Callithrix jacchus: one gene and its partners. The protein of the gene in region 2 interacts with the protein of the main gene of each other region in a pairwise test. Links are inferred from orthologs where the notes say so. Each region holds a gene or a part of one and is shown on either strand. Other genes may lie near its edges.

The links.
Region 1: the proteins of SREBF2 (region 2) and NFYC interact in binary tests that used the Homo sapiens proteins (3 or more experiments, as listed by UniProt). The link is inferred for Callithrix jacchus from reciprocal best matches to the Homo sapiens genes SREBF2 and NFYC.
Region 3: the proteins of SREBF2 (region 2) and SP1 interact in binary tests that used the Homo sapiens proteins (3 or more experiments, as listed by UniProt). The link is inferred for Callithrix jacchus from reciprocal best matches to the Homo sapiens genes SREBF2 and SP1.

The regions. Positions count from the first base shown.
Region 1 is NC_133508.1:77,228,031-77,232,106, reverse strand, and holds the start of NFYC (nuclear transcription factor Y subunit gamma), read right to left. Parts: upstream 2,874-4,076; 5' UTR 2,621-2,873; intron 2,283-2,620; exon of another isoform or gene 2,282-2,282; coding exon of another isoform or gene 2,188-2,281; exon of another isoform or gene 1,914-2,187; intron 1-1,913. UniProt on the Homo sapiens protein: Component of the sequence-specific heterotrimeric transcription factor (NF-Y) which specifically recognizes a 5'-CCAAT-3' box motif found in the promoters of its target genes.
Region 2 is NC_133502.1:189,935,683-189,939,844, forward strand, and holds the start of SREBF2 (sterol regulatory element-binding protein 2), read right to left. Parts: upstream 2,878-4,162; 5' UTR 2,646-2,877; coding exon 2,249-2,645; intron 1-2,248.
Region 3 is NC_133510.1:66,143,952-66,147,597, forward strand, and holds part of SP1 (transcription factor Sp1), read right to left. Parts: intron 2,150-3,646; coding exon 1,950-2,149; intron 1,205-1,949; coding exon 891-1,204; 3' UTR 1-890. UniProt on the Homo sapiens protein: Transcription factor that can activate or repress transcription in response to physiological and pathological stimuli.

The DNA of each region.
Region 1 (4,076 bases), on a different chromosome or scaffold from region 2:
GAAGGGCAGGTTGCTGCAGAAACGCCTGCTGCATAATAAAGGTATACATACACACTCATTTTTCTCATTTTGTCTAGCCTTAGTAAAAAAGAAACTAAGTTACAGATCTACATCATTCTTCATATTTTGTTAACTTGATGACCGAGCCAAAGGCGGCTGAAAGAACCAATGTACAAAATGCATGGCAAACCCTATTTTCACTTGTAGCTTTGCCTCTATCTTCCACATGAAATGTTACTGCAAATAAAGATGAGGGAGGGCTTCAACTAAGCACATCAAGACATAAGGCAATTAAGACCTCCAACTCACTGGTCTCCCCTCAAAACCTGATTCAAATGTTTCCATGCAAAATTGGAACTGCAAATATTTTGTCCCATCCAGTCTTAATTTCACACATTGTTCAGGATAAGCATATCCTAGAATCAATATCCCACAGTCTGAAGAAAGCACTAGGCTTTGAATTGGTCCTGGTATTTGGAGACACCCTAAGGAACTGGTGATGTTTGGAAAACCACTTCAGTGAGCTCTTTACACTATGCATGTAGTAGTTCCTCACTGCTTGGCATAAATTACTTTCATATACAGAAAGCCTATCTGCAATATATTCTGAAACCTGGTTTTAAGGAATGCAGATATTTCAAGTTTCTGTACATATTTTTTCCCCATTATCTACCTGGGTTCAGGAAAAATGCAGCAATTTACTTTGTAAATCTTCCTTTACACAATAGAAACCAAGGGATATGACTGAATACCTAGCTGAAGAACCCATATTCTATATAGTTACAATTCTGTGGTCTAAATACTTAAGCAGCACAACAAATTCTTACGAATTATAGCTTTCCATTTAATACACTCTCAACACCCAGAAATCAAAGTAGACGATCCACTTGGAAATATAAAATTATCTGGAAGTTTGATCCGTGAGGTTTATGCTGACAGCATAATGTAGCAGAAGATAAAATTACAGGCTTTGGCATCAGGCAACCTGGGTTTGAATTCCAGCTCAACCACTTACAGAGTGACACTAGACAAGCTACTTAACCTGTGTGATCCTCAGTTTCCTCATCTGCAATATTGGGATGATAATGCCTATCTACTGGTGTTAAAATGTGCCCCAAAATACCAATTCTCTTCCTCTACTACTTTTCAATTCCCTTCTCCAGAAACTTTAGTTGCATTCACATAAAACTGAATACATTTGAAAACCATAGAAGTTTCTTGAATTTGGTATGAAAACAGAAGAGTAACATCTAAAACTAAAAGGACAACCTAACAAAAACAAGAAAAAACAAATTAGGAAAACACAGAGGTTTAACATAAATGTGTTTCCATGCTCCTCACACATTGGGAGGAGCAAATGTAAAGCAATATAAATAACTATGATTAAGATTCAGTGGAAAAGGAACATATCCCCAACAAGTCCAATGGAACGACTCTGACTGGAATAAAAATTTTGGAATATGAACCAGAAAGTGTTGACAAGTCCTGTTCCTTAAGAAGCCATCCGCCGGCTGGGCATGGTGGCTCAAGCCTGTAATCCCAGCACTTTGGGAGGCCGAGGCGGGTGGATCACGAGGTCAAGAGATCGAGACCATCCTGGTCAACATGGCGAAACCCTGTCTCTACTAAAATACAAAAAAATTAGCTGGGCATGGTGGCGCGTGCCTGTAATCCCTGCTACTCAGGAAGCTGAGGCAGGAGAATTGCCAGAACCCAGGAGGTGGAGGTTGCGGTGAGCCGAGATCGCGCCATTGCACTCCAGCCTGGGTAACAAGAGCGGAACTCCGACTCAAAAAAAAAAAAAAAAAAAAAACCACACCTCAGTGTTTAAATGCTTGCACTCTCCGGCAAAATCCCTGATCTGATTCTACATTTCATCTATGCCCCTAGCCCTGATGCCTTTTTCCCCATACCATGCACTCACACCGTGGACTTCAGGGCCACTTCCAAACTGGGTCACACTAGCACCCCTGGATCTCGAAGATCTCTCAGCTGGTCACTTGGGCTTCGGTGTTTCCAGGCCTGGAACCCTGAGGGCCTGCACAACCCCATGTTGGGCTACATATGTATCAGGAAAAGCACCTATGAAAGTGAATGTCCCCCATTCCAGGCCACAGCCCAGGCTACCCCCAAAGCACCGGCCAGGCCATCACCCTCTCTTCCCCCTTAAGGCCTCTAGGCTCGCACCCGCGCCGCAACCCCCGCGTGCGCCGCAGGGGGTCATTGCCCCCGCCGCCCTAGACCAAGACGCGCGCATCCCTGCAGCCTCAGATTCCTTCATCACCCCCTAGGCCGGAGCCGGCGCGACCAATAAGGTGCCAGGTCCGCGGCCTCCCCGCCACCAACCAATCACGAGCGAGCCCCCCCGCCGTCGCCTTCCGCCAATGGGAGAAAGCCCGCGGGCCGGGCCGACGAGGCGCACGGACCCCACGAGCGCGGCGGCGGGGACGACAGCGTCGGGGCTGGCAAGAACACAACATGGCGGCGAGCAGGCCGGACCGAGCTACAGCAACGGCCGCGCGAGGAAGTGAGGTCTCCGGCCGAGGCGGGAAGCGCTGCCCCTCCCCCCGCCGCCGCTCCCCTCTCACCCTCCCTCGCACGGAAGCTCCCGCACACTCACACGCCTTTGCTCGGGAGTCCGGGAAGAGCAGGAGCCGCCCCCGCGCTCCTGCAGAGTCGGGCAATGCAGAGGCCCAGGCACGGCGGAAGGAAGGGGAAAGCGTGCGTCACGGAGAACGGAGCGCGCGCGAAGCGGGGGCACAAACAAGATGGCGGTCACGCCGTTTGCACGGTCTCTCCTTTTCCCTTCCCCCTCCCTGGGCCTAGACTCTTAGTATCGGGCTGCGCGCAGAAGCTGAGCTGCTTGAAGTCTCGCGAGGATTGGGAAGGGGCGACGACAGAGTGAGGCGGAAAGAGATGTGAGAGTTTTGACCCCACCCCCTTTCGGGGGATCTGGAGGCGTTGCCCGGTGACCTCCACCTGGCTTTCTATCCTTGTGACTCTCTTTGGTGCGAGCTTGAATTTTAGTAAATAAGTAGGGGCGTGTGCGTGTGCGTGTGCGCTTGAATTTTAGGAAATAATACGTGTGTATTTGGGTTTTTAATTTGGGGAGAACTGGAGGATGAAGGTCGACTTGGCGTGCCAGATGAAGCATGCTGTTCAAGTAGACAGCTACTGGCGCCTTAAATTCATAAAAGAGAGCATTTGACACCAAACTGTAAAGTGATACCCTCCAAAATAAAGAACAGTACTTGGCAAGAATAGTTAGCTTGTAACTTCGACATAGACGTTGTTCTCATTTGAATGCAGATTTTAAATCTTTATCACGCAGTTGAAAACCACAGCTACAATGAGCATGGACTTTTTCACTTATCTCTTTCATTTCCATTGGTCCAAAGGCATCAGGATTTTATCCATTTTACAAATGATAAAACTGAAGCTCAAAAAGGTTAAGTAACTTGATCTAAGTAAGGCCCCACAGCTAGTAGCTGTCAAAACCCAATCCGAATAACTTCAAAACCTATAGGAATAGTCATCAAATGTGTTTTGAATGGAATTACCTACAGTAAGAGTTAGTGCATGAGGTAACAAGCACAGAGAGGAATGACTGCCTCTGCTGATGGTAACCTTGAATTTTACTTTGGAGCTTTTGTGACATGTGTTGCATGGGTCCTCAATAAAATCTACACATATTGTTACTCACTACCTGTGGGTTTATAACCCTGGTGATAAAGTAATTGAGAATAGTGGAATAAACCCTTAAATTCAGGAAAATTGTTTTCAAATCCAATTTCAATAAATGTGCTTTAGGCACTCAATAAATATTTGATGAATAAATTAACAAAACCTAACTATAAGACACTTGACTTCAGGGAGTCTCAATTTCTTCATCTGTAAAAGGATCTAATTCCTAACTCTTGGTAATGTAGGGAGAGTGAATGAAATAATGTGAGAGTGCTTTGTAAACTGCAATAGTGTTATAAAGAAGTTACTGCAGTAAGCTATGAACATGCCACTGCACTCTAGCCTGGGTGAAGCAGTGCAAGGCCTTGTCTCAGAAAAAAAAAAAAAAGTTA
Region 2 (4,162 bases):
GCTCTCCAAAAAATATATATATATTAGCTGGGTGTGGTGGCACATGCCTTAGTCCTAGCTACTTGGGAAGCTGAGCTGGGAGGATTGCTTAAACCCAAGAGTTCAAGGCTGCAGTAAGCTACGATTATGCCACTGGACTCCAGCCTGGGCAAGAGCCAGATCCTGTCTCTAAAAAAAATTAGGTGGCTCACACCTGTAATCCTAGCACTTTGAGAGGCCAAGGCAGGAGGACCATTTGAGCCCAAAAGTTTGTGACCTATGCTAGCCTGGCAACAGAGTGAGACCTCATCTCTACAAAACTTCAGAAGATTTGCAGGGCGTGGTAGCACACGTCTGTGGTTCCAGCTACTTGGGAGGCTGAGGTGTGAGGACTGCTTGAGTCCAGAAAGTCAAGGCTGCAGTGAGCTGTGATTGTGCCACTGCACTCCAGCCTGGGTGACAGAATACAGCCCTGTCTCAAAAAATAACTAAATATATAAAAATTAAAATTTGAAAATTAGATAAATAAACAAGTAGGAATTGATCATGGAACAGGAATGCAAAATGCACATGAATTCCTTTCTGTGCCCTTGCTGGTAGACAGTTACAGACATACAGTACTTTCTACTGGCTGTGTAATCTTCAGTAAATTAATGAACTGCCCTGGGCCTCACTTTCAGGATCTGTGAGAGGGAGATGACTAGTGTAACAGTTCTCGCTACCTGATGGTTATGAGAATTAAGAACATTAATGTGTATAAGTGTTTAACACTGGCTGGCACAGAAGTTCTTCAAACATGTTAGCTGCCCTTGGTAGGTACCCAACCTCCAACCCCCATTTGTTAACCCATCTCTGAATTTAGGAGCACTCAGTGAAGAGTCTGTGGTTAGAAGTGGGGCTTCAATTAAGGGTCTTACCACACTGTCCACAAGACTAAAATGGAAAACAAGGACACACCAAGGGGAGAAATACTACAAAAAGCAAAATGGGGATATGGCAAACAGATCCTTTTCAATTAGCTGCTGCATTTATCTCTTCTCTTGAAGAGAATCTTCTGCTGCTTCTGTTTCTTCATCTGCACAACAGGGATGCAGCCATCATACATGCCTGCAAGGCTGTAGTGAGATCCTAGATATGAAAGCATTCTGTAAACTGAAAAGTACCATGCATCTGCGTTTTTGCCTAAAGCTCTCTAAGGTGCGTGGCCTTAGATAAGTCAGCATCTCCTGTCCTCAGCTTCTTTCATTACCGTATTACAATAGGGGTAATCAGAATATCTCACATGATTGTTGTGAAGAAGTGAAATAACACAAAGTATTTTGGAGCCCAGAACACACTATCAAGTTAGTAAGATTACTAGCCTAGTCAACTGGACTCTCTGAACGAAGGGGTACAAAAAAATCAATACTGGCCCAGGAAATCGAAGAACTGGGCTCTAACCAGCTGGGTGACCTTGAGCAAGCCGCTGACCCTTTCCAAATCGTGATTCTCGTGGTCGCAAAATGAGTATTTTTAAGAGAGGATCCCTAGGCTCCTACCAGCTCTTCCACTCCGCTGTTAAGGCGCCGAAACAAAGGCCACCCGCTCCCCAGCCCGTACCCGAGGGGCCACAACTCAAAATTCCTTCTGCTCAATTCCCTTTGTAGCGTGACAGCAGGAGCGCCCGGGTCTCCATCCCGGAGAGATGCATCCACACTCCGCTGCCACCGCTCTCTTCATCAGCAACTTGCTTCTGTGGCCACTGCCCAAAGTTTCGCAGAGCACCCGGCGACCCGGCCGTCGGTCAATCCCGGGAAGACCAAGGATGCGGGGTGCGCAGACCCGGGGCTGGGCCCCGGGAATCTCAAAGCCGCCCCTGCGGCCGGGCAGGTAGTGATAGGTGTGACACGCTGCCGCGGGCGGCGGGAGACCGGACCACGGAGAGGGCGTCTGGGCGCGCAAGGGAGGCGGCGGCCACGCGCTCTCCTTAGGCCGCTCCCTGAGACGCCCCCGCGATGTCGCTGGCCCCGCGCTCCAGAACCCAAGACCCTCGAGCTGCTTTCGGCTCCGCGGCGCCCCAGATCCCACGGCCTCCCAGAGCGGCGCGGCTGGGCTGGGCTCACGCTCGCAGAGCCGGAAGGGTTGGGGGCCGCCGGGGGGGATTGTGCGCGCGGGGTGCTTCCCGCGCGAGCCGGGGCTGCCGAGGAGTGGGCGCACGCGCACCCGGGCGCGCCACCGTAACCCCTTCCTCCCCGCGCGGCCCCCGTACTCCCACCCACCCACCACTCACCGTCGATGTCCCCCAGGGTCAGCTCGTCGCCCAGCTCCGTAAGGGTCTCCATGGTCTCCAGACCGCCCAGCTCGCCGCTCTCGTCCATCGCCCAGCTCAGCGCAGAAGCCCCCCTGCCGTCCCGCTCAGGGAGACGCGGGGGCGGTGCCGTCGCCACCGCCCATGACACCCGACAACCCCCGTCCGGTATCGCCTCACCGGCGGATGCCAGCGGCCGCCATGTTTGCGTTGCGCCCTGGCGCCGCGCGGAAAGGGCGGGGCGGGATTCCCCCGCCCCAGCCCGCGCCCCCTGCGGCCACGCCCCCAGGCCGCGCGCCCCCTTGTTTGTTGTCAATGGGACCAGGCTCATCTCAGCCAATGGGCGCGCGAGGCGGCGCGTGGGGTGATGGCGCGTCATCGATCAGCAGCTCAGATTTGCATAGCGAGGTCCCTCCCCCCGCAACCTGGGAGCGAATGCGGTGAGTAACCGCTCGGTCTTCATCTTAACCTGCTCCTCCTTGTTTAAAGGAGCCGCTGCCTTTTCCGTTGGATCTGCTCCACACGTTATTCCGTCCACCGGCCTGGGAGTGAAGGGTTAACAGACCACCCTCCACCTGCGACCGCCGCCGCCTACAGCCTTTGCTGGAAGCACATTACGTCACCTTCCCAGCGGCCTCCGGGGGCCCTGCTCGCTGGAGAAAGCCGGCGGAGTCAAATCTGGCCCCCCAGCGCTCAGGACCGGAGTCCGGGTCAACGAAGTCCCGCTGCTCCCAGCCCCTTTACAAAGGCTGGCACCGAGGCTTGACTGGGTTGCGAATTGTCCCAGGGCAGTCAGGAGTTATCGTCTTCTGCTTTGCACCCGCCGTGAACTAGCGCTTACTCCAGTGGTCCTCAATCCCTGGGACCTCGGAACCACAAGACCTGAAAACCATGCCAGTGCCCAGCCCTACCGCCGGCCTCCTGAGACGGGGACCCGAGCACGAGTATTTTGAAAAAGTTCCACCGAGATTCTGAAGCGCAGCCCACCTACGGATTCCTACTCCTTCAACGACCTCACTGCCCCATCTTGCAGCTGGCCAGCTGGTCGTGTTGTAAACATCTAGGAATTTATCCCAAGGAATAAAATCACAAGTACTTAAAGAAGTGCTGTAACTAGGAAGAAGTGAGAATAAGGAAATGAATATGTAAATTACATCCACACGACGGAATACCATGGATCATTAAAAATTACGCACACAAAGGTATATTTATTGACCAAAAAAAAGGCGATCACACTGTCAGTCATAGTTACGGGAGTGGTGAGATTTGGGGTGAATTTTACGTTTTTCTGACATTTCAGTATTGTTTAAATTACCTTTTATAATAAACATGTATAAACTAGTGAGAAATAGTGTCTTAATTTTGGGGAAAACAAGACAAGATTGTTCTCTTCATTGTTCACACACAGGGAGGCTGGTACAGAATACACCAGTCTCACCCTGAAAGACAGAAAACTAAACCCTGCTCTGGCCCCAGCACTCAGCAGAAAGGTGCCACCTTCAACTGTGCTGCCCAGTGGCTCCTGCAGGGCCCTTCACACTGTTGTGTGACTGGTACTCTGGGGGTATTCAGCAATAACTTCCATATAACTCTCTCTGGCCCAGGGCACCCACCTATAACCCAGAGCCTCAGTAACCCCCTGCAGAGGTGGCACACAGCACCTGTGCCCATAGTTCCTCCCTGGACCTGCCCAGAGGCTGTGATGCCTGGCCAAGTGGACTGAGGGGGTACAAGTGAAGGCTCAGTAGAAATGCTGGAAGAATAGTGGCTAAACCCAAACCTCAGGAAACTGATATTTTCCCCCTGGCCCTGGATCCCATGTAACTGAACATCTCTTCCAGGTGGTACCTTGCCCTGGCTGGCAGGAAGACAAGGACTGGCTCTGAGGTGTAGGGC
Region 3 (3,646 bases), on a different chromosome or scaffold from region 2:
TAATACTCCTTCCACAGCTACTTCAAGCATCAGCCTGGGCTTCAAGGTTTTTCCATTCTGCTGCTGGAACTAAGGTCTTGAAAAAATTGACAGAAGTGCCTTATCCAGGCACTAACAAAAATAAAACATGAAGTGATCAGATATGAGAATGTGAGATGGCAACAGATGAGTCAGGAAAGGAGTGCAAGAAGCTGATCCCAAATAAAGACAAAATTATGAAAGGAAAAACATTATGTATGTATATATAAACTAAAAGCAGAGCATATGAATGCTTAATTTGGTGAGAAGCCAAGGCAACATCTACAGAAAAGCTGATGTGTCACAACAAGGCTCAGCCATAGGGAAATAAGGCAATATAAAAAAAATGACCAAGGTATTTTGGTCACAGAATGGTCTTCTTCCTCCTCCCAGCCAACCCCTGTGAATGCATCTCTATATATCTTTATATATATATTTATATATATATAATAATATAGAATCTGTTTTTTGTTAAAAAGTATTTCAATGATCATATATATTTATCAAGGCATGATGGCTTTAGGAAATGGGGCAGGGGGGTGATCCATCATGGAAGAGCTGAGAAGAGAAATGCAGGAAGGGTAGGCTGGAGTAAGAAGTTTAAGAAGAAACTGGGGTAAAACAAATGCTCATCAAAGGGTGGCACCAACAGAATTTTCACTAATGTTTCCCACCTTCAAAGAGGCACTGATGATATAGATGGGTGCCAGGACCCCATCTCTTCTCTTGTATCCCTCTCCCAATTCTTCCCACCACCATGCATTTTAATGCTTCATGGCTCTCTCTTCCCACATGTCTCTTGGACCCATGCTACCTTGCATCCCAGGGTTGATGGGTATGGCCCATATGTCTCTGGCCCCAGGTGCCTGATCTCAGAAGCCATTGCCACTGATATTAATGGACTGCAGATCCGCCACCTGCATGACGTTGATGCCACTGTTGGCAAGACGGGCAATGCCCTCTGGACAGATGGCCTCCATGGCTACCATATTGGTGGTAATAAGGGCTGAAGGAGTGGCAGAGCCGCTGCCTTCTGAACCTGCCCCACTGTCCAGGGGCAAAGTGCCCACACTCAGGGCTACACCTGGGCCTCCCTTCTTATTCTGGTGGGTCTTGATATGTTTTGACAGATGGTCACTCCTCATGAAGCGCTTAGGACACTCAGGGCAGGCAAATTTCTTCTCACCTAGGTAAAGGAAGAAAAGAAGCTGACATGTTAGGAAGTGAGATTACCTTACCTAATTCACTGCTTTCAAACTCTACTAGGCTGAATAAGGCCAGTATGACAAGATTATTAAAAACAAGAAAAATCTTGAAGTATCTTTTCCTTTTGGTTGGGGGGACAGGGAAGAAAAGTAGATAAAGGTTAGGGAGTACTCAGTAAGGACGGTGGAACTTAGCAGAAAAGTAAGGCAAGGCAGAGACTAAGAGTAATGGTTTCAATACTTCGCCTTCAAAATCCCACTCAAAACCTAGCTCCTTCCTTTTTTTTCCTTGAGACAGAGTCTTGCTCTGTCACCCAGGTGGGAGTGCAGTGGGGCAATCTCAGCTCACTGCAACTAAGCCTTCTGATTCCCCTGCCTCAGCTTCCCAAGTAGCTGGGATTACAGATGCCCGCCACCAAGCCTGGCTATTTTGTATTTTTAGTAGAGATAGGGTGTCCCCATGTTGGCCAGGCTGGTATCAAACTCCTGACCTTAAGAGATCCACCCGCCTGGGCCTCCCAAAGTCTTGGGATTACAGGCGTGAGCCACTGCACCTGGCCCTCCTTCCTTCTTAAAAGTTTTCCAGATTAACTCCAATTCCATTTGTGACCCATATAATTCAGTTTCAAATTAAGTTGCTAAGAAATTTTAGTTATTTTGTAAGTGTATTTTGTGTTTTTCATTCTGATCTATTACTATTTTTCTCTCCCACAGGCTCTTGCTCACCTGTGTGTGTACGTTTGTGCCTCTGTAGCTCATCCGAACGGGTAAAGCGTTTCCCACAGTATGACCAGGTACACATAAATGGTCTCTCGCCAGTATGCCAGCGCAAGTGTGCCCGCAGGTGTGAGGTCTTGCCATATACTTTCCCACAGCCTTGGATGTGGCAAATATGCTGTTTCTTTTTGCCAGGATCCCCTGAACCCCTAAAAGTAAGAATACAACTATTCATCATTCATTCTAAAGACAGAAACTAAAGAACCACAAAGTATCAACAGCAATTACCCAACCTACACCAAACTTACTCAAACTTTTTTTTTTTTGAGACAGAGTCTCACTTTGTCACCCAGGCTAGAGTGCAATGGTGCCCTCTTGGCTCACTGCAAACTCCCCCTCCCGGGTTCAAGCAATTCTCCTGCCTCAGCCTCCCAAGTAGCTGGGATTACAGGCGTGCCACCAAACTCAGCCAATTTTTGTATTTTTAAGTAGAGACTGGGTTTCACCATGTTGGTCAGGCTGGTCTCGAACCCCTGACCTTGTGATCCGCCCGCCTCAGCCTCCCAAAGTGCTGGGATTACAGGTGTGACCAAACTTTTATTTTTGAAAAAGGCTTCCTTTTTTTTGCTTTTGAGACTGAGTCTCTCTCTGTCACCCAAGCTGAAGTGCAGTGGCACAATCTCAGCTTACTGCAACATTGCCTCCTGGGTTCAAGTGATTCTCCTGCCTCAGCCTCCCAAGTAGCTAGGACTATAGGCGTGGGCCACCACGCCGGCTAATTTTTTTATTTTTAGTAGAGATGGGGTTTCACCATGTTAGCCAGGATGGTCTCGATCTCCTGATCTTGTGAGCTGCCCACCTGGGCCTCCCAAACAGCTGGGATTACAGGCGTGAGCCACTGCGCTTAGCTAAGGCCTCATTTTTTGTTGTTGTTCATTCTATTTTGTTTTTTTTGAGACGAAGTCTCACTCTGTCGTCCAGGCTGGAGTGCAGTAGCATGATCACAGCTCACTGCAACCTCTCCCTCTCCTACCCAGGTTCAAGAGATTATCTGGCCTCAGCATCCCAAGTAGCTGGGACTACAAGTGCACGCCACCAGGCCCAACTAATTTTTGTATCTCTAGTAGAAACGAAGTTAGCCATGTTGGCCAGGCTGATCGCAAACCCCTGACCTCAGGTGATGAATCCGTCCATCTCTGCCTCCCAAAGTGCTGAGATTACAAGTGTGAGCCACTGTGCCAGGCCAGAGGCTTTTTTTTTTTTTTTGAGATGAACTTTCACTTTTGTTGCCCAGGCTGGAATGCAATGGCACGATCTCAGCTCATCAAAACCTCCGCCTCCCAGGTTCAAGCAATTCTCCTGCCTCAGCCTCCTAAGTAGCTGGGATTACAGGCGCATGACACCACACCCAGCTACTTTTGTATTTTTAGTAGAGACAGGGTTTCTCCATGTTGGTCAGGCTGGTCTTGAACTCCCGACCTCAGGTGATCTGCCCGCCTTGGCCTCCCAAAGTGCTGGGATTACACCATGCCCAGCCAATGTTTCTTTTTAAAAAGGCTTCTAGGCTGAACAAGGTGGCTCACACCTGTAATCCTAACACTTTGTGGGGCCGAGGCAGGAGGATTGCTTAAGCCCAGAAATTTGAGACCAGCCTGGGCAACACAGGGAGACCCCATCGCTATAAAAAAATTTAAGTTAGGCCAGCT